6 linked regions of the Macaca mulatta genome follow. The protein of the gene in region 1 purifies or fractionates together with the protein of each later gene. This does not show direct contact. Links are inferred from orthologs where the notes say so. Each region holds a gene or a part of one and is shown on either strand. Other genes may lie near its edges. The genes, in order: IQGAP1, DVL2, STAU1, MYL6B, MYL6 and HECTD1.

Region 1 (3,500 bases):
AACGTGTAAAAATCAGATATTTCAAAATAAAACTTAGGGATCTTTATGCTGTAAAAATGAATTACTCCCGAGTTCTTTTTGGATTTAAGATAGGATGTGGTTTACAAACATAAACTTTACACACACCTTGTCAGAAGTGCATCTAACCTTTAAGTACCTACATCAAATCAAAATGAGAAAAAAATTTCAAGCTACTGAGTGGACTTACAATTTTGCAATGTCAGCATGTGTACTTATGCATTTTGTTCAAGTCCAAGGTATCAGCTCAATTTAGTGGCAGCACTAAGTGGAAGCTTCAGATAAATGTTTTCTGAAGATTTACATCTGCAAAAGCTCTCCAGAGTGTACACACCAAACCAGACGTGCTGCAACACTCAGCTTCTTTCCCCACAGTGTGGAGCCCAGCTCACTGCTGAATGTAGACAGCTTTCCTCAGATGAGTCTCCTCTTTATCTAGTTCTCCTACTTGGACAAGAATCTCATCCAGAAAGCTTTTGGTTCCTGCTGGTGCATACCCACCTGATAATGTAACATAAAAGTCTCCATTTGAACTCCCATGAATTTGGCTTTCACTTCAAAGTCTCCAACTTCTTCTGTTGGACTGATTTCAAAGATAACATTTTTAAACCTGTTGAAAGATAACATCGTAAGGGTATGGTTTTTATGTTCTTATATAAAAATATTCTGTGAAATGGGGAAAGGAGATGAACCAAGTCTTCAAGGGTGAAAAGGGGTAGAAAATACAGGTCAAAAGTACTTCTGCACCTGAAGCAGCACGGATTGCCATGCCTAAGTACCATCTGCTCTGGGACTTGGAGAGAGGAATGGCAACCTCTCTCTGCCTGCAGCACTTGCATTCTATAAAAGAAGAACCACTGAGGAGTGCCACAAGTGGCCTGTGAAGGGATGACATCATAGTAATTCTCTTCACTTCCACATGGCCAAAAATGAAACCTAATGATAAAAGGAGAAAACAGGAAACTGGGGTGGAAGGAGATGGTATGTGTGTTTGAATACATGCATGTTTGAGGACTGGGAGAAGTAAATAAACAAAAGGGGGTCAGTAAAAAAAGCTCCAAGGGAGGAGGTTTTTCTAGAAAGAGTAGGTGCTGTGTACATAAGCACACTCAGTATTACCAAAGATAAATTGTTATTATTAAAAATATTTAAGTTATCACTCATTCACAACATGTTACCTGCCAGGAAATTTTAGGAAGCCAAAAGGAAAAGGGGTTATGCAGCCGGGCACGATGCCTCACATCTGTAATCCCAGCACTTTGGGAGACCGAGGCGGGTGGATCACAAGGTCAAGAGATCGAGACCATCCTGGCCAACATGGTAAAATCCCGTCTCTACTAAAAATACAAAAATTAGCTGGGTGTGGTGGCATGCATCTGTAGTCCCAGCTACTCAGGAGGATGAGACAGGAGAATTGATTGAACCCGGGAGCCAGAGGTTGCAGTAAGCTGAGATAGTGCCACTGCAGTCCAGCCTGGTGACAGAGCAAGACTCCGTCTCCAAAAAAAAAAAAAAAAAAAAAAAAAAAGGGGATTAAGGCATTCTCTGGGTGATCAAAGTATAGCACCCCAGATTTCCAGAACTCAACTATGGAGCTACCTTACCTATTACAAACAGGGCTGAGAACCATGAAAGATGCAAAAAGGTCACTGAGAGTTAAAGGAGAAGTCACAAAAACCCATGCACTGAAACATACATGCATTTTATTCAACTGGAATGCCTCACGGGTTATTCCTTAAAGATATTTATCTTAAGTGATAAATAATTTTATCAGATTTAGTTGGCTATTTAGTTTCTAAACCCATAGAAGCAAATTAAAAAGAAGAAAGAAAGGCAAATAGAGGTAGGCACTTGAACAGTAGTGGAAAATAATGACAAAAAGAAGGGCAATATTGACTCATGCCTGTAATCTCAGCACTTTGGGAGGCCAAGGCAGGAGGACTGCTTGAGCCCAGGAGTTCAAGACCAGCCTGGGCAACAAAGTGAAACCCTGTCTCTACAAAATATAATTAGTTGGATATGGTGGCACATGCCTATGGTCCCCGCTACATGGGAGGCTAAGGTGGGAAGATCTCTTAAGCCCAGGAGGTTAGGGCTGCAGTGAGCTGTGATCATGCCAGTGCACTCCTGCCTAGGTGACATAGCAAGACTCTTTCTCTAGAAAAAAATTTAAAAATTATGTACCCATTAAAAAGGATGCTTTCAATGAATATAAAAAATGCTCACAGCATAATGTTATAAGAAAAAAGTTGGATACATGACCATAAACAGTATTGTCCCAGTTTGTGTTAAAAAATATTAAGTAGTTATTTTAGGCTGGGTGCAATGGCTCATCCCTATAATCCTCCCAGCATTTTGGGAAGCTGAGGAGGGCAGATCAGCTTAAGATCAGGAGTTTGAGACCAGCCTGGCCAACATGGTAAAACCCTGTCTCTACTAAAAATACAAAAATTATTTGGATGTGGTGGCAGGCACCTGTAATCCAAGCTACTTGGGAGACTGAGGCAGGAGAATCACTTGAACCTGGGAGGCGGAGGTTACAGTGAGCTGGAGGTTGCAGTGAGCCGAGATTATGCCACTGCACTCCAGCCTAGGCTACACAGAGAGACTGTTCCCCCTCCAAAAAAAAGGCCTGTAATTCCAGCACTTTGGGAGGCCGAAATGGGAGGATCACGAGGTTAGGAGATCAAGACCATCCTGGCTAACATGGTGAAACCCCATCTCTACTGAAAATACAAAAACTTAGCTGGGTGTGGTGATGCATGCCTGTAGTCCCACCTAACTGGGAGGCTGAGGTGGGAGAATTGCTTGAACCCTGGAGGCCAAGGTTGCAGTGAGCTGAGATCGCGCCACCATACTCCAGCTTGGGTGACAGAGAGACTCCGTCAAAAAAAGAAAAAAAGGGGGGGGGGAGAAGAAGAAGAACAAAAAAAAATATATATAAAGTAGTTAGATAAATAAGTGGGTGAGTTGTGGATAATCTTTATGTGAATAGAAAAAAAATACATTAAAATGATTTCCCTGGTTATCTCTGGCTTGTGAAATTACAGGTGTTTTCTTTTTTATGCTTTACTGTATCTTCAAAGTTTAATAATGAATACATATTATTTTAGAATCAGAAAACTGTAAAAGTTCTTTTTTTAAAAGTTTTTTTTTTTTCCCCAGACACAAGAAGGGAAAGATCAGTAGCCTGACGTCACAGGGCTGACTGAGCAGACGCTTAATAAATGCTTGCTAATGAGGCTGGGCCCAGGATCTATGGGAGGATGACATGTCAGGTCCATGAACCACCTGCAAAGCAAGCTGATACTTCCCAGAAAAGAAAATGAAGGTTAAGTGCCTGGTTCCTAGCTGTAAGTGGAATAAAGCAAACTCCTCTTATTGTTACTCTTAATTTATTCTTGGTTCAGAAACAGAAGAAATCCAAGGAGTGGCTTCCTGCTTTAATGATGAAAAATTAAGATCAGACCCAAAGAAGTGAA
Region 2 (3,401 bases), on another chromosome or scaffold:
TCATTTGGCAGTATGTTTTTAAGAGTTTTCCATGTTGATGAGTCATCCGCATTGTGGTGCCTTCCACCCTCACCTTCTCCAGCCCAGCCGCGATGTGCTTGCTTCTCCTTCTCTTTGTGTCTCTTAATCCATCCTTGCTTCAGGCCCCCACTCTCCTGAGGCCTCCTCTTCCCCTGCGCCCTTGACTGGACTTCTCTTCCCCGTAGCCCCATTGTGCTGACTGTGGCCAAGTGCTGGGATCCCTCTCCTCAGGCCTATTTCACTCTCCCGAGAAGTGAGTGACACTCAGGGAGGGGGCCTGAAGTTGGGGGTGGGGGCTGGCCAGGAGGCTGGGGCTGGACCTCTGGTCATGGGGAGTGGGTGGGAGGAGGGTCCAGGCAGAGGTGGAACAGGAGGCTGAGTCAGGGAGGGACTGGGCTGGCTTTTGGGGACTGAGAATGGGTCATTTTGGTGCCATCTTTGTCCCAGATGAGCCCATCCAGCCAATTGACCCTGCTGCCTGGGTGTCCCACTCTGCGGCTCTGACTGGCACCTTCCCAGCCTATCCGGGCTCCTCCTCCATGAGCACCATTACATCTGGATCCTCTTTGCCTGATGGTGAGCCACCAGCCCACCGCATCCCACCCTCCCAGCAGAAGGCTGTCCTGCAGTGGTCTGACCCATTGCCTTTGTGGGAGTGATCCCTGACTCTCATTCCCTGTGGTCTCCTCTGCCAGGCTGTGAGGGCCGGGGTCTCTCCATCCATACGGACATGGCATCGGTGACCAAGGCCATGGCAGCTCCAGAGTCTGGACTGGAAGTCCGGGACCGCATGTGGCTCAAGATCACCATCCCTAATGCCTTTCTGGGTACGGCTGGGTCCTGGGCAGGTGGCTGGAGAAAGGGAGGAGGAGGCAGCCAAAGCCGGGAGTGGCACAGGCAGAGGCGAGAGCAGGAGTTGGAAGGAGAACCTGAGGCCTTTTTCCACTGTGGATGCTCCCAGGCTCGGATGTGGTTGACTGGCTCTACCATCACGTGGAGGGCTTTCCTGAGCGGCGGGAGGCCCGCAAGTATGCCAGTGGGCTGCTCAAAGCGGGCCTGATCCGACACACCGTCAACAAGATCACCTTCTCTGAACAGTGCTATTACGTCTTCGGAGACCTCAGTGGTGGCTGTGAGAGCTGTGAGTCCCTCTGCCCCAACTCTGGGAGTGTGGCTTTGCCTGCCTTGTTCTGCCTCTCCAACCCTAGACCTAGCCCAGAAACTGCAGCCAGGGCCACGATGGATGGTCGAGCAGCGTGTGTCCCGCACTAGGTCCTGCATTGGCCGAGGATCGTGGCTGGCATCCATCCATGCGCTGCTGGACAAGCCACGCGCCAGGTGCAGGACTGTGTCCACCGGGGGAAGGTGCACATCCTCCTGAGTCCCACAAAGACATGGGCTAGTGGTGGCCCTGGCTGTGCCCCTGCCCTCATGGCAGAAGTAGATGGGAGTTTCCTGTCAAGAGTCCCCTGTGAACCCCTGTTTTGAGCCCCATCGTGGGTGGGTCTGGGCTCTCCATTCCGTGTCTTGGGGCCTTAGCCTCTTGAAGCAGTGATTTCTTCCTCACTTCCCTTGTTTTCCAGACCTAGTCAACCTGTCTCTCAATGACAACGATGGCTCCAGTGGGGCTTCGGACCAGGACACCCTGGCTCCTCTGCCTGGGGCCACCCCCTGGCCCTTGCTGCCCACTTTCTCCTACCAATACCCGGCCCCACACCCCTACAGCCCGCAGCCCCCACCGTACCATGAACTTTCATCTTATACCTTTGGTGGGGGCAGTGCCAGCAGCCAGCACAGTGAGGGTAAGTCATCCCCACATACCTGTACGGCCAGGGTCTGAGGGTGGATCAGAGGGCAGCCAGGGAGGAGCCTGGGTGAGGACTTAGTTGCCCCTCCCCTCCCTCCACAGGCAGCCGGAGCAGTGGGTCGACCCGGAGTGATGGGGGGGCAGGGCGCACAGGGAGGCCCGAGGAGCGGGCCCCCGAGTCCAAGTCCGGCAGTGGCAGTGAGTCCGAGCCCTCCAGCCGAGGGGGCAGCCTTCGGCGGGGTGGGGAACCAAGTGGGACTGGCGATGGGGGCCCTCCTCCATCCAGAGGCTCAGCTGGGGGTGCCCCTAATCTCCGAGCCCACTCGGGGCTCCATCCTTATGGACCACCCCCTGGCATGGCCCTCCCCTACAACCCCATGATGGTGGTCATGATGCCCCCACCCCCACCTCCAGTCCCTCCAGCAGTGCAGCCTCCGGGGGCCCCTCCAGTCAGAGACCTGGGCTCTGTGCCGCCAGAACTGACAGCCAGCCGCCAAAGCTTCCACATGGCCATGGGCAATCCCAGCGAGTTCTTTGTGGATGTTATGTAGCCCACTGTGGGGCCAGGCTTGGCCTGGCGCTCCTGGTGTGTGACTGGCTGTCCTGGCCATCATGTGCTTGCTCTTACAGTGCCTGGGCTCAGCCTAGCAGCTGCTGCCATACAGGAGATTGTGGCCACTGTGACTCTCACCAGCAGTGCCTGGTTCCTCCCCCTTCCCTCGGGTAGACAAGGGACCTTTGATTATTTTTAGCTTTGTTTTTTTAATAAGTCTTTTTGGGGGTTAAAATAGAGTTTCTTACATTTTTGGGACTTTTTAAATAGGCATTTTCTCTTTTATATGAAAAATCCCGTCCGTTGGGCCCCTTCTAACCCCAGAATGTGACCTCCTCCTCCAGTTACCCATAGCCTTGCCCTGTGCAGGTTTGGGGGTGGTCAGTGGTACCCTGGGGTTAGGCACCCTAGACAGCAGCCTGAGGAAGCTGGGAGATTTGGGCCATGTAGCTGCCTTTGTTACTCTATTTATTTTAGTCACTTGTATAAAACACCAAATAAAGCAATAGAGGCAAACTCCCCACGCCTCTGGCTCCTTTCTTTGGGAGGGAGGCAGGCAGCAGAGGGAAAGAACGGACACACAGGAGCAAAGCATGACTGGTTAGAAATTTTTATTATTTTCGAGGCAGTAAGTGCTCTTGAGAGCAGGCACAGTCCTGGGAATACTAGGCCCCCTCCGGGACAAACCAGGGCCCTAAGGAGAGGGGCTTTGGCTTGAGGAAAGGCACATAACCGGGCCAGGCCCTGGCCAGGAGTATTCAGAAGCCAAGTGGGTTGCTGGTGACCACACCACCCCGCTCCACCAAGGCCTTGGAGATGCTTTTGAAGTTGCGGTAGAGCTCATGCTGCCGGGGGTCAGACTGCAGGGCGGCCATGCCCTCTCGGATCCGGGCTGCAGCCTGGGGAGAGGGAAGGAGGGTTGGGCCTGCACCTCTAGCCCTCACCTGAGCTTAGCAGCCCCGAGTCTCACCTCGATACACCAGGTGTCACAGAGCATTTTCTCATGCTGGGCCGTGTGGT
Region 3 (3,500 bases), on another chromosome or scaffold:
TGATAAGTCACCTATACACTCTCTGGCAAATGTTCCTTCATCACGATCCTACTCACATTAGTGTTTGATGCTAATCACTCTTCATCAATATATCCAGAGATTTCATAAAAGCTTAAACTGGATTAGAATTGCTACACAGTATAAGAAAAGAGTTTTTAGCAATCCAAACTTACATCTCAGGAAACACAATGGCTTAGAAATTATGAGTTTATCATGCTAACCTGCACTGACAAAATCTAAAATGAATTAGGCTTTGGCGGAGACAGACACTTGGTTTGCTCTGCCTTCTCAAACCTTAGCTTTAAATTTGCATGTCTCCAATAGAAGGCTGGGAATTTTAACGCACAAGTCTTTTAGAAAGGACCCTCATTTCAAGAAATCCCAACAAGCTGTAGCCTACCTAGCAGAACCCAGTTTCTCATTCATTTCCCTAGCAGAACCCAGTTTCTTATCCATTTCATAGCTTGTATTTTTAAAATGGCTTTATCCCCCAACAGAGAGCAGGGAAATGAAGAATTCCATTTTGTTCATCATCTATCCACTAATTTTTTTTTTTTTTTTGAGATGGAGTTTCTCTCGTTGCCCAGGCTGGAGTGCAGTGGCGTGATCTCAGCTCACTGCAATCTCTGCCTCTTGGATTCAAGTGATTCTCCTGCCTCAGCCTCCTGAGTAGCTGCGATTATAGGTGCCCACTACCAGGCCCAGCTAATTTTCATATTTTTAGTAGAGACAGGGTTTCACTGTGTTGGCCAGACTGGTCTCAAACTCCTGACCTCGTGATCCGCCCACCTCAGCCTCCCAAAGAGCTGGGATTACAGGCATGAGCCACCGCGCTCGGCCTCCACTAATGTCTTACTACTGCCGGCAAAAGATTTTTTAATCCATGGCATTTTCAGGTTTCAATTAATATTTTACTGCAACAAAGCTATTTACAAAGCGCACAAGTTCAAAAGTCAAAAAGTACCCAATTATCAGGTAATCTACAAATGCTGGGAATCACTGTCTTGCAGGAATCATGATGCTATGGGAATCATGTTTGAATAAGATTCAGTTACACAAAGCAGTTACAAGGGTGATCTTTAGCCAGGCTGCTAGAGGGCACAAGCCACACTGCCAGTGAGAAATATGCTCAGGCCCTTTCCAAGAGCAGTAAAGAAGCACAAAGGGCCGGGTATAGTGGCTCATGCCTTTAATCCTAGCACTGTGGCAGGCTGAGGCAGGAGGACTCCTTGAGCCCAGGAGTTCAAGACCAGTTGGGGCAACATAGGGAGACACTGTCTCAATGAATTAAAAAAAAAAAAAGAGGGGCGGCCGGGTGCTCTGTGAGTTTGGGACTCACTTTGGGAGGCCAAAGTGGGCAGATCATCTGAGGTCAGGAGTTCAAGACCAGCCTGGCGAACATCGCAGAACCCCGTCTGTACTAAAAAATACAAAAAAAACTTAGCCGGGCGTGGTGGCAGGCGCCTGCAATCCCAGCTACTCGGGAGGCTGAGACAGGGAGAAATCACTTGAATCCAGGAGGCTGAGGATGCAGTGAGCCGAGACAGCGCCACTGCACTTCAGCCTGGGCGACACAGCAAGACTCTGTCTCAAAAAAAAAAAAGGCAGGGGAGGGGCACAAGGCACAAGAGTAATTAAGACCGACTTCAACATTTGGCAGGCCCAAACCAAATCATTACTCCCTCCACAATCTAGAGGTACTAGTTTATGTAAAATATCACACATTTTCACCTGTATTTTATGGAGAAAAAAAAAAACTCACACATACCTCGGGGGATAAGCACCTCCTCTCATGTTGTAGTTATAGGTGGACTGCATCCGAGAGTAAGGGTCAACAGGCTTATACATTGGTTTTTTTCCAAGTTTCATGCACAGTGCATTTAGTTCTACAGTAGGAGTTATGCTTTCTACAAGAAAGAATCGACAAATAACTGTTTTGTTCTGATATGAGAATGATACTCACTAAAATAAAATGTAATAGCATGCTTTCTGCTAATCGGATTCATGATACATAAAAGGACCTGGGTCACTGCTAGGCATCAGACAAGGAAATCCAAGAATATGCTGTGATTTCTCGATATTTATATATAGTCAACAGCACAAAATCTACTCTGAGGGTTATCAGAGGAGCCACAATTTAACCCAAGACATTATCAGTGAAAGCTATATGGTACAGCTGTCAGAAATAAGTTCCAAAACACATCAAATTTCACGATTAAAAAATCCCATGTAAATGTCCAAATTATTTTAGTGTTTGAGAATATTTAATCAATATAACCTTGGTTGTACTGATTTACAGGATTATTGGCTTGCACTCAGAAGTATATCTGTACACACTATTGAATGATGCATTTATTACGTTACTAACTGGATGCAAAGCACTGTGCTAAGCTTAAGAAATACAATTCCTGGCCAGGCATGGTGGGTCACGCCTGTAATCCCAGCACTTTGGGAGGCCGAGGCAGGCGGATCACGAGGTCAGGATATCAAGACCATCCTGGTTAACATGGTGAAACTCCGTCTCTACTAAAAAATACAAAAAATTAGTCGGGCGTGGTGGTGGGCACCTGTAGTCCCAGCTACTCAGGAGACTGAGGCAGGAGAATGGCCTCAGGAGGCAGACCTTGCAGTGAGAGTGGCTCACGCCTGTAATCCCAGCACTTTGGAAGGCTGAGGCGGGCAGATCACCTGAGGTCAGGAGTTCAAGACCAGCCTGGCTAACATGGTGAAACCCCATTTCTACTAAAAATACAAAAAATTTGCCAGGCATGGTGGCACGCACTTGTAATCCCAGCTACTTGGGAGGCTGAAGCAGGAGAATCACTTGAACCCAGGAAGCGGAGGCTGCAGTGAGCCGAGATTGCCTCACTGCACTCCACATCGGGCAACAAGAGTGAAACTCTGTCTAAAAAAAAAAAAAAAGAAACAATTCCTGCCCCAGAGGAGTTCAAAGAACACAAAGCACACTTAAAGAGCTACAATACAACACGATGTGCAACTCAAGGTGAAAAATCACTGAGGCGACCGCAACCCAATTCTTTTTGGAGAAGTTACACAAGGCCCACAAAATATTCAGGTATTTCCATTCTTGATATTTCTAATGGAATTTGACCTGTGGTAATACTTGCTAGGAAAATGAGTTCCATTTTCATATACAACAAGTTATCTCAAAATGTATCAACTTCAGAAGATACATGCTATTCATTTTCCAATTTTTCTTTCTCTCAGTTCATCCAATCCATAAACTTTTAAAAACCATTTAAAAAGAAAACCAGCCTGGAAAGATTAGTGTCAGTGCACAATCATATTTAAAAACAACACTTTCATATCAAAAACAGAACACTAGAAATGGCAAAATCTAAATGCACACAAAAATCCACTTTAAAATGCCTCTTTAGGGTGTATATACAGAGAAATAAAAAAGACCTTATTCTGTACTATAATTGGTTCAACTAAATTTAATGCATGAATCAACTCTATAAGAATAACATTGGGGTTTG
Region 4 (4,149 bases), on another chromosome or scaffold:
GTTTTTTTGTATTTTTAGTAGTGACAGGGTTTCACCATGTTGGCCAGGCTGGTCTCGAACTCCTGACCTCAGGTGACCAGCCTGCCTCACCTCCCAAAGTGCTGGGACTACAGGCGTGAGCCACCAAGCCCGGCCCTATTTTACCAATAATAACACTTCGAATCCTCCTAAGAGCCCTATGAGGCAGGTACCATTATCATTATTTTACAGATGAGGAACTGAGGCCCAGGAGAGACAACTAAACCTGCTGAGGGCCACTAACCAGCACCTGGTAGAACCAGGATTCAAATATGAGCAGGCTCGTCTGAACCCCATGCACTTGAGCACCCTCTGAGATAATTTAACCCCTTCATCGGTAGCAGATCTATGGTGGCCTCCAGAAATGGTTGCTAACTTACTATCATCGTTATTTCTGTCGTACAATTCATTTCTACCTTTCCAATAAACTTTCCCGAACCAGTGAACCTTACTTACTGCCCATAAAGTTCACCTGTGCCTCACCACCCTGCCCTCGCCCGAGTTTTCTGCTCTGACCGAATCCTCACACGCCAGTGCAGCCCCAGCCTCCAACACCAGGTGCACCGCCAGTGTATTTACTGATCCAGTGAATGAAGGTGGGCCCGGCCGGGCTGGTTCCCATCCTCTGATCAACGCCTAGGGGAACCAGTAAACTCCAATGCTGACCATAAGTGTCTCAGAAAGTAGGTCTGGAAAGCCCAGCCCTCCGCTCAGGAACCTATGAAGACCGGGGAGGATAGCGCATATGCGGCCGCAGGATGGAAACCTCGATCAGAAGGCTGGGGCAGGTGACTGGGCTTAATTGCAAATTTTAACATTTACTTCAGCAACCAGTTCATTAAAAACAAACTACTCTGAGGCCTCTTTTTTTCCCACCAAACCCAAGAGGAAGCGAAAAAGAGCGCAGCCGCTCTCCCTGGGGCCGTAAGTGCTTCCAGCTATCTGACCTCCACGCTGCCTGCTGCAGCCTCAACCTTTCCCCTGGTTCGGAGTTCTTTCAGCAGTAGGTCCAGGAAAACACCTGCCCCGCTCCCCACCGCCCCCCCCCCCACCGCCTCCCGAGACTAGGAGCCCGCCAGGGCTAAGTAGGAGGGATACCCTAGGGACCCTGCAGGGTTTTAGGGTTGGGGTGGATTGGAAATTGTTCATTGCCTTTCAGTTCCGGGACATGGAAGGACACTGAGTCACCAAACGCCGCCATGGGCCGGAAGCCACCGCCCTAGCCTCAGCTGCAATCTAGAGCGCGGCGTATCCCGTGAGCCCACTGGGGACTACGACTCCCGGCATGCTCCGCGGCCGTCGGAATTAACCCTTCAGGGCTGGGGGGCCGCGCTGTGCACCGCCCCCTCCCCAGCCACAGACGCGGACCCCGCAGGGTGAGTTTTGGGGGGCTGAGGAGAGCCGCTTTCTTTAAGGTTTAGTGGGGTGTGTGAGAGTGTGTGTGTGTGTGTGTGTGTGTGTGTCTGTGTGTGATGTATTTTGTAAAAATGGGACAGTTTGCAGTAATGAGATTCAGACACTGTTTTGCGAATGGGAGACCCAGCATCAACCCCGGGGCCTAAGTGGAGTCACTGCTATCTTCCTCAGAATGCTACCTAAATCCTTTCCTAATTTCCCCCAGAACAAAAGTAGGCCGCAACCCCTCCCCACTCCCAAACACCCCCCAACTTGGACTCTCTCCCAGTGCCCCCGGCAAGGTTTGTGACCTGGCCCCTGAGTCGGGATTTTTATTATACCCCTGGTAGTGGGATGAATACTCATGGAGGCCATAGGAGTGCCCACATCCTCTTGGATTAGGGAATTTAAGCCTTCTCCCAGAGCCCGCCCTTCTCGGGTGCCACCACAGGGTCCCCACAGGTTCAGCAAGCGCCCTACCTTTTGTTTGTGTTGAATGACAGTGGTCTTGTGGAAGAAGGTTCCTTCCATGGAAGAATGGGTAGCAGATGTTAAACCTGATCTTTGCCCCCACTCCTTCCCCTAAAACAACACTGCGCACTAGGAGACAATGAGGGATGTCACACTCCTGTTTCTATGACTATTCTTCCTTTATACTGTGAATAGTTTCAATTCTTGGCTGGGTGCGGGCTCAGGAACTACAAGTATTAGGGATTATTAGACTGTAGGGTTAACTACCCCTGCTCTTTACAAAGCCATGGTCAGAAAGGAGTGGAGGGGCTGGGCAGATGGGCTGCTTGTTTTTGTCATTGCTCCCAGACCACACTTTAACTTGTTCCAGTTCACACAAGCCTCCCTGACTGCTACCCCTCACCCCACCCTTCGAGAAGACTAAAGCTGCTGGATCACCTGCTTTGCCTCACCACCCCCATCTCAGTGCAAGCATCCTATCCTCACCCTGGAGGTTAACTACCTCTCATTCTGGGCAGTCCCTGGCTTCCTCCCCTACCCTCAAAGGAAACATTGTTCTTTTCTGGACAGCCTTTGGGGATGAGGGGACAGAGGGAAGAAGACCTTGGGGCAGGAGTCCTGAACCATAGGAGGCCAGGGGAGTGAGGGCAGACGGTTATATCTCTCCTCTACCTCATCCTCGCCACAGCCAACTGGCTCCCTGCCCCTGCCCCCGCCCCTTGACATCCCAGACTCCCTGGCTATTTAAACAGAGATGGGTGCCCCCATCCGCACACTGTCCTTTGGCCACCGGACATCATGCCTCCCAAGAAGGATGTTCCCGTGAAGAAACCAGCAGGGCCCTCCATCTCCAAACCTGCTGCTAAGCCAGCAGCAGCAGCAGGGGCTCCTCCAGCCAAGAGCAAAGCTGAGCCAGCTGTCCCCCAGGCCCCTCAGAAAACCCAGGAGCCTCCAATCGATCTCTCCAAAGTGGTGGTGAGTCTCTGGAAAGTGAAGATAATTGGAGGGGGTGGTTTGAGGGTGAGATACAGCTTAGGGGATTAGGGGGTATCTAGAAGGTAGGGAATCAATGAACCCTGGAATGAGATTGGGGCTTTCCCTTAGTCCCCCATTTGGAAGCATCCAGGCTTATGACTCTGCTGTTGTCTTTGCTGTTCTCTCCCTCTAACCTATAACCATGTGTGTACAGCACATGCACACTCACTTACCCCCTGCTGGAGGCAGGGACTCTTAGATGGGGAACATCTGGGTTCTGAGGACAGTTTCAAGGTGAAGGGAAAAGAGCTGTTGCCTGCCCCTGGCTGGTGATTCAACTCAAAAGGCCTGCAGCTCTGAACTCCAGGAAGGGAGGCTGAAGAGGACAGACTTGTTAGACAATCACAGCTGGGGGCCAGGGGTAAATTTAGCCTTTGTTCAGCCCCCAGTTATGTGAGGGATGCAGGGCTCAGGGCAATGGAGGGAGGGAAACAGGTGGCATGGGATTAACCCTGTTCCCAGGAAACCCTCCCCACTGTAATTCCTCTTCTTGGGATTCTCCCAAGGCCCAGAGCTGGGAATGGGACTGAGGTGGCTGGGCTTCCAGCCTGGTCCCTTTGGGCCCCTCCTCAGAAGTGGCTGCCAGTTGGTTGGGAAGAGTGCTGGAGAGGGACTGAATAAACTGTCATCTCTCCCCACCTGCTTTTTTCTTCCACAGATCGAGTTTAACAAGGACCAGCTGGAGGGTGAGGAGAAGCTGGTCTAAGCCCACTGTCCAGTCCCCAATCCCCTGGTCAGATTCTCTTTCTATTCCCCTAACCCCAGTCCCGACCTTGAAACCTCCCATACTAGTCCTCTTTTCCTCCCTTGTTCTGTTCACATAGTTTCTGAAATTCCCTTCTGTCTGGGGGTGATGGGAACCCCTAGTCAGTGTCTACACTGACCCTTCCTTATACCTTAGAGTTCAAGGAGGCCTTCGAGCTGTTTGACCGAGTAGGGGATGGCAAGATCCTGTACAGCCAGTGTGGGGACGTGATGAGGGCCCTGGGCCAGAACCCCACCAACGCCGAGGTGCTCAAGGTCCTGGGGAACCCCAAGAGTGATGGTGAGGGGACCCTTGGAACAATTTGGGTTTTTAGTTTTCAAAAGTTGAATGTTGGTAACAAAGAATGAGGTGGATCTCAGGACTTCAAAAACTGTCAAACACAGAAGCAGGAAAATATCCTAAATGCTGAACAGGATGAAAGCATTGTGGTAGGGTTGGGAGCCGGGTCCTATGTGATACTACAG
Region 5 (3,935 bases), on another chromosome or scaffold:
AGTGTATGACCTGAGGTCAAGAGTTTGAGAGCAGCCTGCCCAACATGGTGAAAACTCATCTCTACCAGAAATACAAAAAATTAGCGGTGAACCTGTAGTCCCAGCTACTCGGGAGGCTGAGGCAGGAGAATCGCTTAAACACGGGAGGCGGAGGTTGCAGTGAGCCGAGACTGCTCCACTGCACTCCAGCCTGGGTGACAGGAGCGAAACAACGTCTCGGAAAAAAGCATTGCCTGGGTGAGTGAAGGAGGGAAAGCAGGGACTCAGACGTTGTGTCTGGGATTCAGGAGAGAAGATGACTGAGGAGGAGGTGGAGACTGTTCTGGCAGGACATGAGGACAGCAACGGCTGCATCAACTACGAGGGTGAGGGGCCAAAAAAGCAGGAGCGGGGCCGGGGGAGGAGGGGAGCCCGGCGTCTTGCCGCGTGTGGGTGGGGGCACCCCTGAATTATCTAGAGTCAGATGTATTATCCAGAGGCCTGCTTCTGAAGCCCCTCTTGCCTCCTCTCTTTGCAGCCTTCTTGAAACACATCCTAAGCGTCTGAGTGCTACAGGTAGGGCCTTCCCACCCCTTCACCGCGCCTTAAGAGGCAAGTCTCCCGCGCTTCTCAGCCAGCATAGAAAAGCAGCGGAGTTCGTTCTGCTGTCCGGTTGCTGCGCGGGCTCCAGCGCTTGGCAACTTTCGTTTTTTTCCACAGATCCAGTGGGGTCCGGACACTGGGCCCCGCGGGCGGAAGCACGTTCCAGCCACCAGGAGGCCACCTATTGTTTCAAAATAAAGACTGGGTTCCTCTCTTCGTTTCAGACTATTTTTTTCATGGTTGGGGGAGCAAGGGGAGACGGGGAGGGTGCTAGGAGGAGAGGGCGGGAAAAGAAGGCTCTCTCCTCTTCCAGTCCTCTAATGTTCCTGTTGTTGGGAGGCGCAGATTAATTGTGCCCCACGCCCCCCCCACTCCCATCCCCGAGCGGTTCTGTGCCCAGGTAGGGCTGGAGAAACGAACAGCGGGCCCCGCCCACGTCATTACTAATGTAGCAATTATCTGCATAAACCCAGGTCACGGTTCCTATTGGCTGAGTCCGCTGAGGGTGACGTCATTGGGACGTACTAAGACTAGGGTTGGGCCGAGAGTCGGAGCCATTACTGCAGGAAAAGGTCCCGCAGAGCTGAGCAGTCAAGATGGTGGGGCCCAGGTCCTGGGAGATGGGCAGGATTGGGGGCGAGAGGTGGGAAGAGACGGGTGGGGGGGCGAGGAGAAGGCAGGGGTAGGAGGCAAAGGGAACCTGAGGACCCGAAAGGTTGGAGGTGGGGTTGGAAAGCCTGGGGCCCTATCCTGCGGGGAAGCGAGTCTGCAGCCTGAAACAGGAGTTTGTGGGGCTGGGATAGAAACTCGGGGGATTGGCGTTCAGATGCTGACCACTTCCCTCTTCTCTGAGCAGTGTGACTTCACCGAAGACCAGACCGCAGGTAGGTTATCTCTGATCCCTACCGAGGTCACCCTTAGGGAGAGGGACACCCGCCCCCCAGCACCTATCCTCTAATCTTAATCTGTCATCTCTTTAGCACCCCTATGAGGTTACCCCCTGGATTATTTTCTCTTCTTTTGGATCCTCCATTTTCTTTTCTCACTTTCTTCCTCCCTCCCCTTCCACTCTAGATCTGAGTCCCAAGCACTGGGTGAGTTTTAGGTGGTGTGGGTATGTGAAAAAACTTGGTCACCTAATGCCTGCTGTTTGTGGGGTCTGGGGAGGGTGTATAAAGCTGCCTGCTCTCCTTTGTCCCTTAATCAGCTACTTCTGTCTTTTTTCTCCTCCTGTGATAACTGCCCCTGACCTCCCAGCTTGCAGTTGTGAAGACTGTAGAGCAGTGACTTGATATTCTGTGCAGATGGGGACAGGACAGGGGAGTTTGCTAAGGATATGACTGTAGCTCTACCCTCTGGAAGTTCTCTTTGTACTGGAGGGGTGCAAAGTGGCAGGTTGGGATGACCCTGGTCCCAGGCTGCTGCTCTCACTTCCTTATAAGGACAGGACTGAGACTGGGCGGTGGCGAATTCCTGCCCTGAGAAGTGTAGTAGCAGCAGTGGAGATTGGCAGGTCTGCCGCAGGCAGAGGGGGATGTGTAAATGGATGTTACCAGGCTGCCAGAGGGGGAGGAAGGCTCTATATAGGACACCTGAGTTGGGAGGAAGATAAATAGATCCCTCTTAAGTACACTTCGGTGTACAGTTTGGTGCAGATATCTGGTTTCCTCAGCATGATCAAAGTTGAATGGGCAGCAGGCTCTGAGGTAGGGTTTGGGTTAACCCTCAAATCCTGTGTTGACATTCATCTGAATCCTCAGAGTTCAAGGAGGCCTTCCAGCTGTTTGACCGAACAGGTGATGGCAAGATCCTGTACAGCCAGTGTGGGGACGTGATGAGGGCCCTGGGCCAGAACCCTACCAACGCCGAGGTGCTCAAGGTCCTGGGGAACCCCAAGAGTGATGGTGAGGGGCCTCAAGAACAACAACTCAGTGTGGTCATGGGCCCACAGTTCTTCAGCTAAGAGCTTCCCTTTATCTTCATAGGCCCCAAACTCAAAAGTCTGGATTAGCAAATCCCATGGATTTCCCTGCTTAGGAGGGAGTCATCTCTCTGTTCAGTTGAGGTCTCTATTATCCCCCGTCCTGAGAACTTGTGTTACTTCTCTGGCCTGACACTTCCACCTCCTTTATGGCAGAGATGAACGTGAAGGTGCTGGACTTTGAGCACTTTCTGCCCATGCTGCAGACAGTGGCCAAGAACAAGGACCAGGGCACCTATGAGGATTATGTCGAAGGACTTCGGGTGTTTGACAAGGAAGGAAATGGCACTGTCATGGGTGCTGAAATCCGGCATGTTCTTGTCACACTGGGTAAGGTTCTGTGTCCTTGTCCTTGAGCTGAGATGCCACCCTGAATACCTCACTTGTCTCCCAATTCCAAAGATGCTCTCTTTCCCCCTGCAGGTGAGAAGATGACAGAGGAAGAAGTAGAGATGCTGGTGGCAGGGCACGAGGACAGCAATGGTTGTATCAACTATGAAGGTAAGGGGTGAACTGCGCTTTCGCAGCCACATGGGGCAGGTCAAGTATAGTGTTTGGGGCTTTCCCTATCCCTGGACGTGGGCTCCAAAAAGAGCCAGGAGGCAAGGTGCAGGGCCCTGCCCAGCCCAGCCCAGGAGTGGGAGGTCAGGGGGGTGTAACAGGAAAGGAAGGAGTAGTATTGTAGAGGGTGGGAAGGAATGAGAAGTGAAATAATGGAATGTCTGTCCCCACCGCCTGACCCCTCACCCCATGTCTGTGTCTTGTCTTCACCATGAATGTCTCTTCCTTCCTGCAGCGTTTGTGAGGCATATCCTGTCGGGGTGACGGGCCCATGGGGCGGGTACGGCTCCTCCCAGCCTCTCCCCTAGTTGATCTCCCCAGTGTTTCTTTTTTCCTCAACCTGTGCTCTTTATCCCCTGCCCTTACCCTACTACCATCTGACTTCCTCCTGGCATGTTTCTGCATGGAGCTGACTAGGGAGGGGAGGGATTCCTCATAGAGGAATACAGCCTGGGGGTAAGGTACCTCTTTACTTCTAGAATGGGCCTTGAGGTTTTACTTATAGGGCCCTGGGTGCTGGTGTCTGGGAACTCTCACCAGCCTGTATACCAGTCTTGCTTTAGGGTGACCTTCTGGCCCTGGAGCATGGGTAGCTGGCATAGAGGGGTATGGGTTGCCTGCCCCATTCTGCTGCTATAGCTGAACAGTCCTTTCCCCTTCCCTCGCTGGGCAGCTTGGAGGTACCCTAACCCAAAACTCTTGTCCTCTCCTCCCGCCAGTGGCTGACAGTAGCTGTAGGTGTAGTTGAGAACTTTTCTGCCTCTGCTGTGTTCTTGCTGCTCAGGGTGGGGAGGGGCACTAACAGCTGGTG
Region 6 (3,146 bases), about 24 Mb from region 1:
TCAGGCCGGGCGCAGTGGCTCACACCTGTAATCCCAGCACTTTGGGAGGCTAAGGCGGGCGAATCACTTGAGGTCAGGAGTTTGAGACCAGCCTGGCCAACATGGTGAAACCTTGTTTCTACTAAAAATACCAAAAATTAGCTGGGCGTGGTGGCAGACGCCTATAATTCCAGCTATTCGGGAGGCTGAGGCAGGAGAATCACTTGAACCCAGGAAGTGGAGGTTGCAGTGAGACAAGATCGTGCTATTGCACTCCAGCCTGGGCAACAAGAGTGAAACTCCATCTCAAAAAAAAAAAAAGACAGCTGACATCATGGTTGATGTTGATTCCTTTTCTCATTGTGTTTTAATTGTTCATTTTTAAAATTTGGTAAATTGTAAGCTGTTAGGCTATACTACATTTATATTAAACTTTTTATTGAATATAACAGATAAGTACACACGTCATATATACAGTTTAGAGGATTTTCTCAAAATGCACACACCTATATATCCAGAATATGAAGCAACTTCAAAAATCCCCCTTCCCACGATATTCTTTTCTGTTAATTTAATCACCATATGTTGATCAGTTTTGCTTGCTTTTGAACTTTTAATGTAAAATCATGTAGTCTGTTTTCTTTGTGGTCTGGTTTCTTTTGAGTAACATGATCATGAGATTTATCCATGTTCTGGCATATAGTTCATTTACTATTTCATTACACAAATTCATTTACACAAGTTCATTTACTATTTCATTACACAAATTTATCACAAGATAATTATTTTGCTGGAACAAAAATCGATTATTTCAGATCCCCTTTGGTATATTTATCCATATTTGGAATGATTTTGCAAATGCATCCTATGTTTTTATGATTTACTGACTTTGTTGCATAATAGATGGACCCCATACACCATCAGTATTTTTTAGTTCTTACAATTTATAAGTGCAAGACAGGCTTTGAGGGATTTTTTTTTTTTTTTTTTTTTTTGAGATGTAGTTTCACTCTTGTTGTCCAGGCTGGAGTGCAATGGCATAATCCTGGCTCACTGAAACCTCTGCCTCCCAGTTTCAAGCGATTCTCCTGCCTTAGCCTCCCAAGTAGCTGGGATTACAGGCATGCGCCACCATGCCCAGCTAATTTTGTATTTTTAGTAGAGATGGGGTTTCACCATGTTCATCAGGCTGGTCTCAAACTCCTGACCTCAGGTGATCCATCCGCCTCATCCTCCCAAGGTGCTGGAATTACAGGTATGAGCCACCACACCTGGCCAGGGATATTTTTAAAGTAGCTTGTCTTAGCCCATTTCATACTTACCCAAGAGTCTCTAGATGTGTTGTTCTTCTGGTGTGAGGATATTGTTTTTTAGGGGGCTTGTTGCTGGCTGACAAAGTAGTGGTAGTGATTTTCATTTAAATCTGCAGTCAACTCAGTATAACTATATTTTTGTTCTTTTAGCCCTGGTTTCCTGAGGTTTGTGAGGGTTTTATGTGGCATGTCTTCTGATGAAAGGAAAGCATTCTTGCAGTTTACCACTGGTTGTTCAACTCTACCCCCAGGTGGACTGGCTAACCTGCATCCCAGGCTCACGGTTGTACGCAAGGTACAAGCTCTGTGGCTAATTGGGAATCCAAATGAAATTTAGTTACTTTACTTTTGAAAGAAAGAAGTATTTAAACTCATGGTCTTCTGTTGTGTTTGCTTTCTTGCTGTAGGTTGACGCTACTGATGCAAGCTATCCATCAGTCAATACATGTGTGCATTACCTTAAGTTGCCTGAATATTCTTCCGAGGAGATCATGAGAGAGCGCCTGCTAGCTGCTACAATGGAGAAAGGCTTTCATCTCAATTGAGCTTTGAAGTGCAATGGGAGACATCAGAGACTTTAAAAATACTAGTGAAGCCTCTTGTGTTTATGTGCAGAGAAGTATATGATCCTCCACGCTAATGACACTTGCCTTTTTTTCCACCATTAAGGCTTTAAGAACATGTGGAATAAGTTTGTTAGCTGCTAATGACAAAACAAATCCTGTAACTACCCAGCCAGCAAGTATATAGCACAGAACACTGTGTTACTTTACAAGGGCTTATGTGACTGGAATAAGGTGGTCCTACTTGACTGTTCCAAAGAGCAGCTTCTCAGATCTTCAGTGTTCACTGGTAAATTTCTAACAGTGTATTTGTGTAAAGTTTGTCATTTCATACTCCATACACTACAGTTGCCGTCACTGATCCCTGTTTTGCTGGCTTTTAAGCTACTTGGTCAAAAATCCTGCTTCCTTAAAACATAGAGAATTAATGAGCATCTCAAGCTTTTTCTTTTCCTTTTTAATGATGCCTGCACTATCAAGAGTATTCTAGTGTTCTCTCTTTGTTTGGCATATAATCATGCACCAACCTTTTATTTCTTTAAGGTGGGAGTATATTTTTATTTGCTAAATGCCGTACTATGAAGATCAAAGTCTTAAGTGTGTTTGTGCAGCTCAAAAATAAAGATGTATTAAGGGGGGAAAACACTGGTCTAAGTGCAAGGCACACTTAAAGCAAGTTTTACTTTTGGTTGTATTTTCTTTGTATATTATAAACATTTATTTAACTTGTTGCCGTTTGAAGTAAAAAATTTCCAAAATGTATGCTCAACAATAATGATTAAAATGTTTGCAGCGTACAAAACTGTGTCGTTTGACTATTTCAGTGCAATCATCAGACTTCAGAGCTTTACCATGTACTTGTCATTTTGAATCATCCACAGTTTTCTGAAATTACTACATAAAGAAATGTGTTTTTCTATAGTAAATACGGTTATTAAAATTGAAAGACTAGAAGAAATATATATTCACACACTTGTGATCCAACGGTTGGGTTCAGTTTTAAAGTATGCCTCAGCTAGAACTGACCAGTTACTTGTGTTAATTGTTTTAAAAAACACCAGATCCACAACTATTATATCTGCAGGGATATGTAAAGTGAGGATGTAAGAAAGATCCAAGAATGATTTTTAAATGTTGTGTTAGTGTCAAAAGAAAACACAAAGATACTGCTGTTTTGTGGTTTTGAAGAAGGGACTGTATTTCCAAATTCCAAAGTGGATTTTCCAAATTCCAGTTATTACCATATCTGTGCTTATAGGTGAAAGGAATGACACTAGGCCTGATTTAGCCA

Evidence for each region.
Region 2: the proteins of IQGAP1 (region 1) and DVL2 purify together in Homo sapiens (affinity purification with western blotting; 3 studies listed by BioGRID, with this or other methods). This does not show direct contact. The link is inferred for Macaca mulatta from reciprocal best matches to the Homo sapiens genes IQGAP1 and DVL2.
Region 3: the proteins of IQGAP1 (region 1) and STAU1 purify together in Homo sapiens (affinity purification with mass spectrometry; 4 studies listed by BioGRID and IntAct, with this or other methods). This does not show direct contact. The link is inferred for Macaca mulatta from reciprocal best matches to the Homo sapiens genes IQGAP1 and STAU1.
Region 4: the proteins of IQGAP1 (region 1) and MYL6B purify together in Homo sapiens (affinity purification with mass spectrometry; 3 studies listed by BioGRID and IntAct, with this or other methods). This does not show direct contact. The link is inferred for Macaca mulatta from reciprocal best matches to the Homo sapiens genes IQGAP1 and MYL6B.
Region 5: the proteins of IQGAP1 (region 1) and MYL6 purify together in Homo sapiens (affinity purification with mass spectrometry; 4 studies listed by BioGRID and IntAct, counting the BioPlex papers as one, with this or other methods). This does not show direct contact. The link is inferred for Macaca mulatta from reciprocal best matches to the Homo sapiens genes IQGAP1 and MYL6.
Region 6: the proteins of IQGAP1 (region 1) and HECTD1 purify together in Homo sapiens (affinity purification with mass spectrometry; 3 studies listed by BioGRID, with this or other methods). This does not show direct contact. The link is inferred for Macaca mulatta from reciprocal best matches to the Homo sapiens genes IQGAP1 and HECTD1.

What each region holds. Positions count from the first base shown.
Region 1 is NC_133412.1:80,384,156-80,387,655, reverse strand, and holds part of IQGAP1 (ras GTPase-activating-like protein IQGAP1), read right to left. Parts: intron 629-3,500; coding exon 520-628; intron 1-519. UniProt on the Homo sapiens protein: Plays a crucial role in regulating the dynamics and assembly of the actin cytoskeleton.
Region 2 is NC_133421.1:8,711,184-8,714,584, reverse strand, and holds the end of DVL2 (segment polarity protein dishevelled homolog DVL-2), read left to right. Parts: intron 1-206; coding exon 207-274; intron 275-468; coding exon 469-597; coding exon of another isoform or gene 598-615; intron 616-677; coding exon of another isoform or gene 678-716; coding exon 717-848; intron 849-982; coding exon 983-1,162; intron 1,163-1,293; coding exon of another isoform or gene 1,294-1,359; intron 1,360-1,604; coding exon 1,605-1,823; coding exon of another isoform or gene 1,824-1,844; intron 1,845-1,907; coding exon of another isoform or gene 1,908-1,930; coding exon 1,931-2,379; 3' UTR 2,380-2,901; downstream 2,902-3,401. Other genes in the region: ACADVL (very long-chain specific acyl-CoA dehydrogenase, mitochondrial), read right to left, coding at 3,140-3,280, 3,352-3,401.
Region 3 is NC_133415.1:101,966,591-101,970,090, forward strand, and holds part of STAU1 (double-stranded RNA-binding protein Staufen homolog 1), read right to left. Parts: intron 1,908-3,500; coding exon 1,769-1,907; intron 1-1,768. UniProt on the Homo sapiens protein: Binds double-stranded RNA (regardless of the sequence) and tubulin.
Region 4 is NC_133416.1:63,303,961-63,308,109, forward strand, and holds the start of MYL6B (myosin light chain 6B), read left to right. Parts: upstream 1-1,349; 5' UTR 1,350-1,394; intron 1,395-2,615; 5' UTR 2,616-2,682; coding exon 2,683-2,859; intron 2,860-3,577; coding exon 3,578-3,605; intron 3,606-3,820; coding exon 3,821-3,964; intron 3,965-4,149. UniProt on the Homo sapiens protein: Regulatory light chain of myosin. Does not bind calcium.
Region 5 is NC_133416.1:63,309,899-63,313,833, forward strand, and holds the start of MYL6 (myosin light polypeptide 6), read left to right. Parts: upstream 1-1,135; 5' UTR 1,136-1,178; coding exon 1,179-1,181; intron 1,182-1,438; coding exon 1,439-1,466; intron 1,467-2,342; coding exon 2,343-2,486; intron 2,487-2,719; coding exon 2,720-2,893; intron 2,894-2,986; coding exon 2,987-3,064; intron 3,065-3,359; coding exon 3,360-3,388; 3' UTR 3,389-3,404; intron 3,405-3,935. UniProt on the Homo sapiens protein: Regulatory light chain of myosin. Does not bind calcium.
Region 6 is NC_133412.1:104,221,553-104,224,698, reverse strand, and holds the end of HECTD1 (E3 ubiquitin-protein ligase HECTD1), read left to right. Parts: intron 1-1,442; coding exon 1,443-1,587; intron 1,588-1,699; coding exon 1,700-1,837; 3' UTR 1,838-2,646; downstream 2,647-3,146. UniProt on the Homo sapiens protein: E3 ubiquitin-protein ligase which accepts ubiquitin from an E2 ubiquitin-conjugating enzyme in the form of a thioester and then directly transfers the ubiquitin to targeted substrates.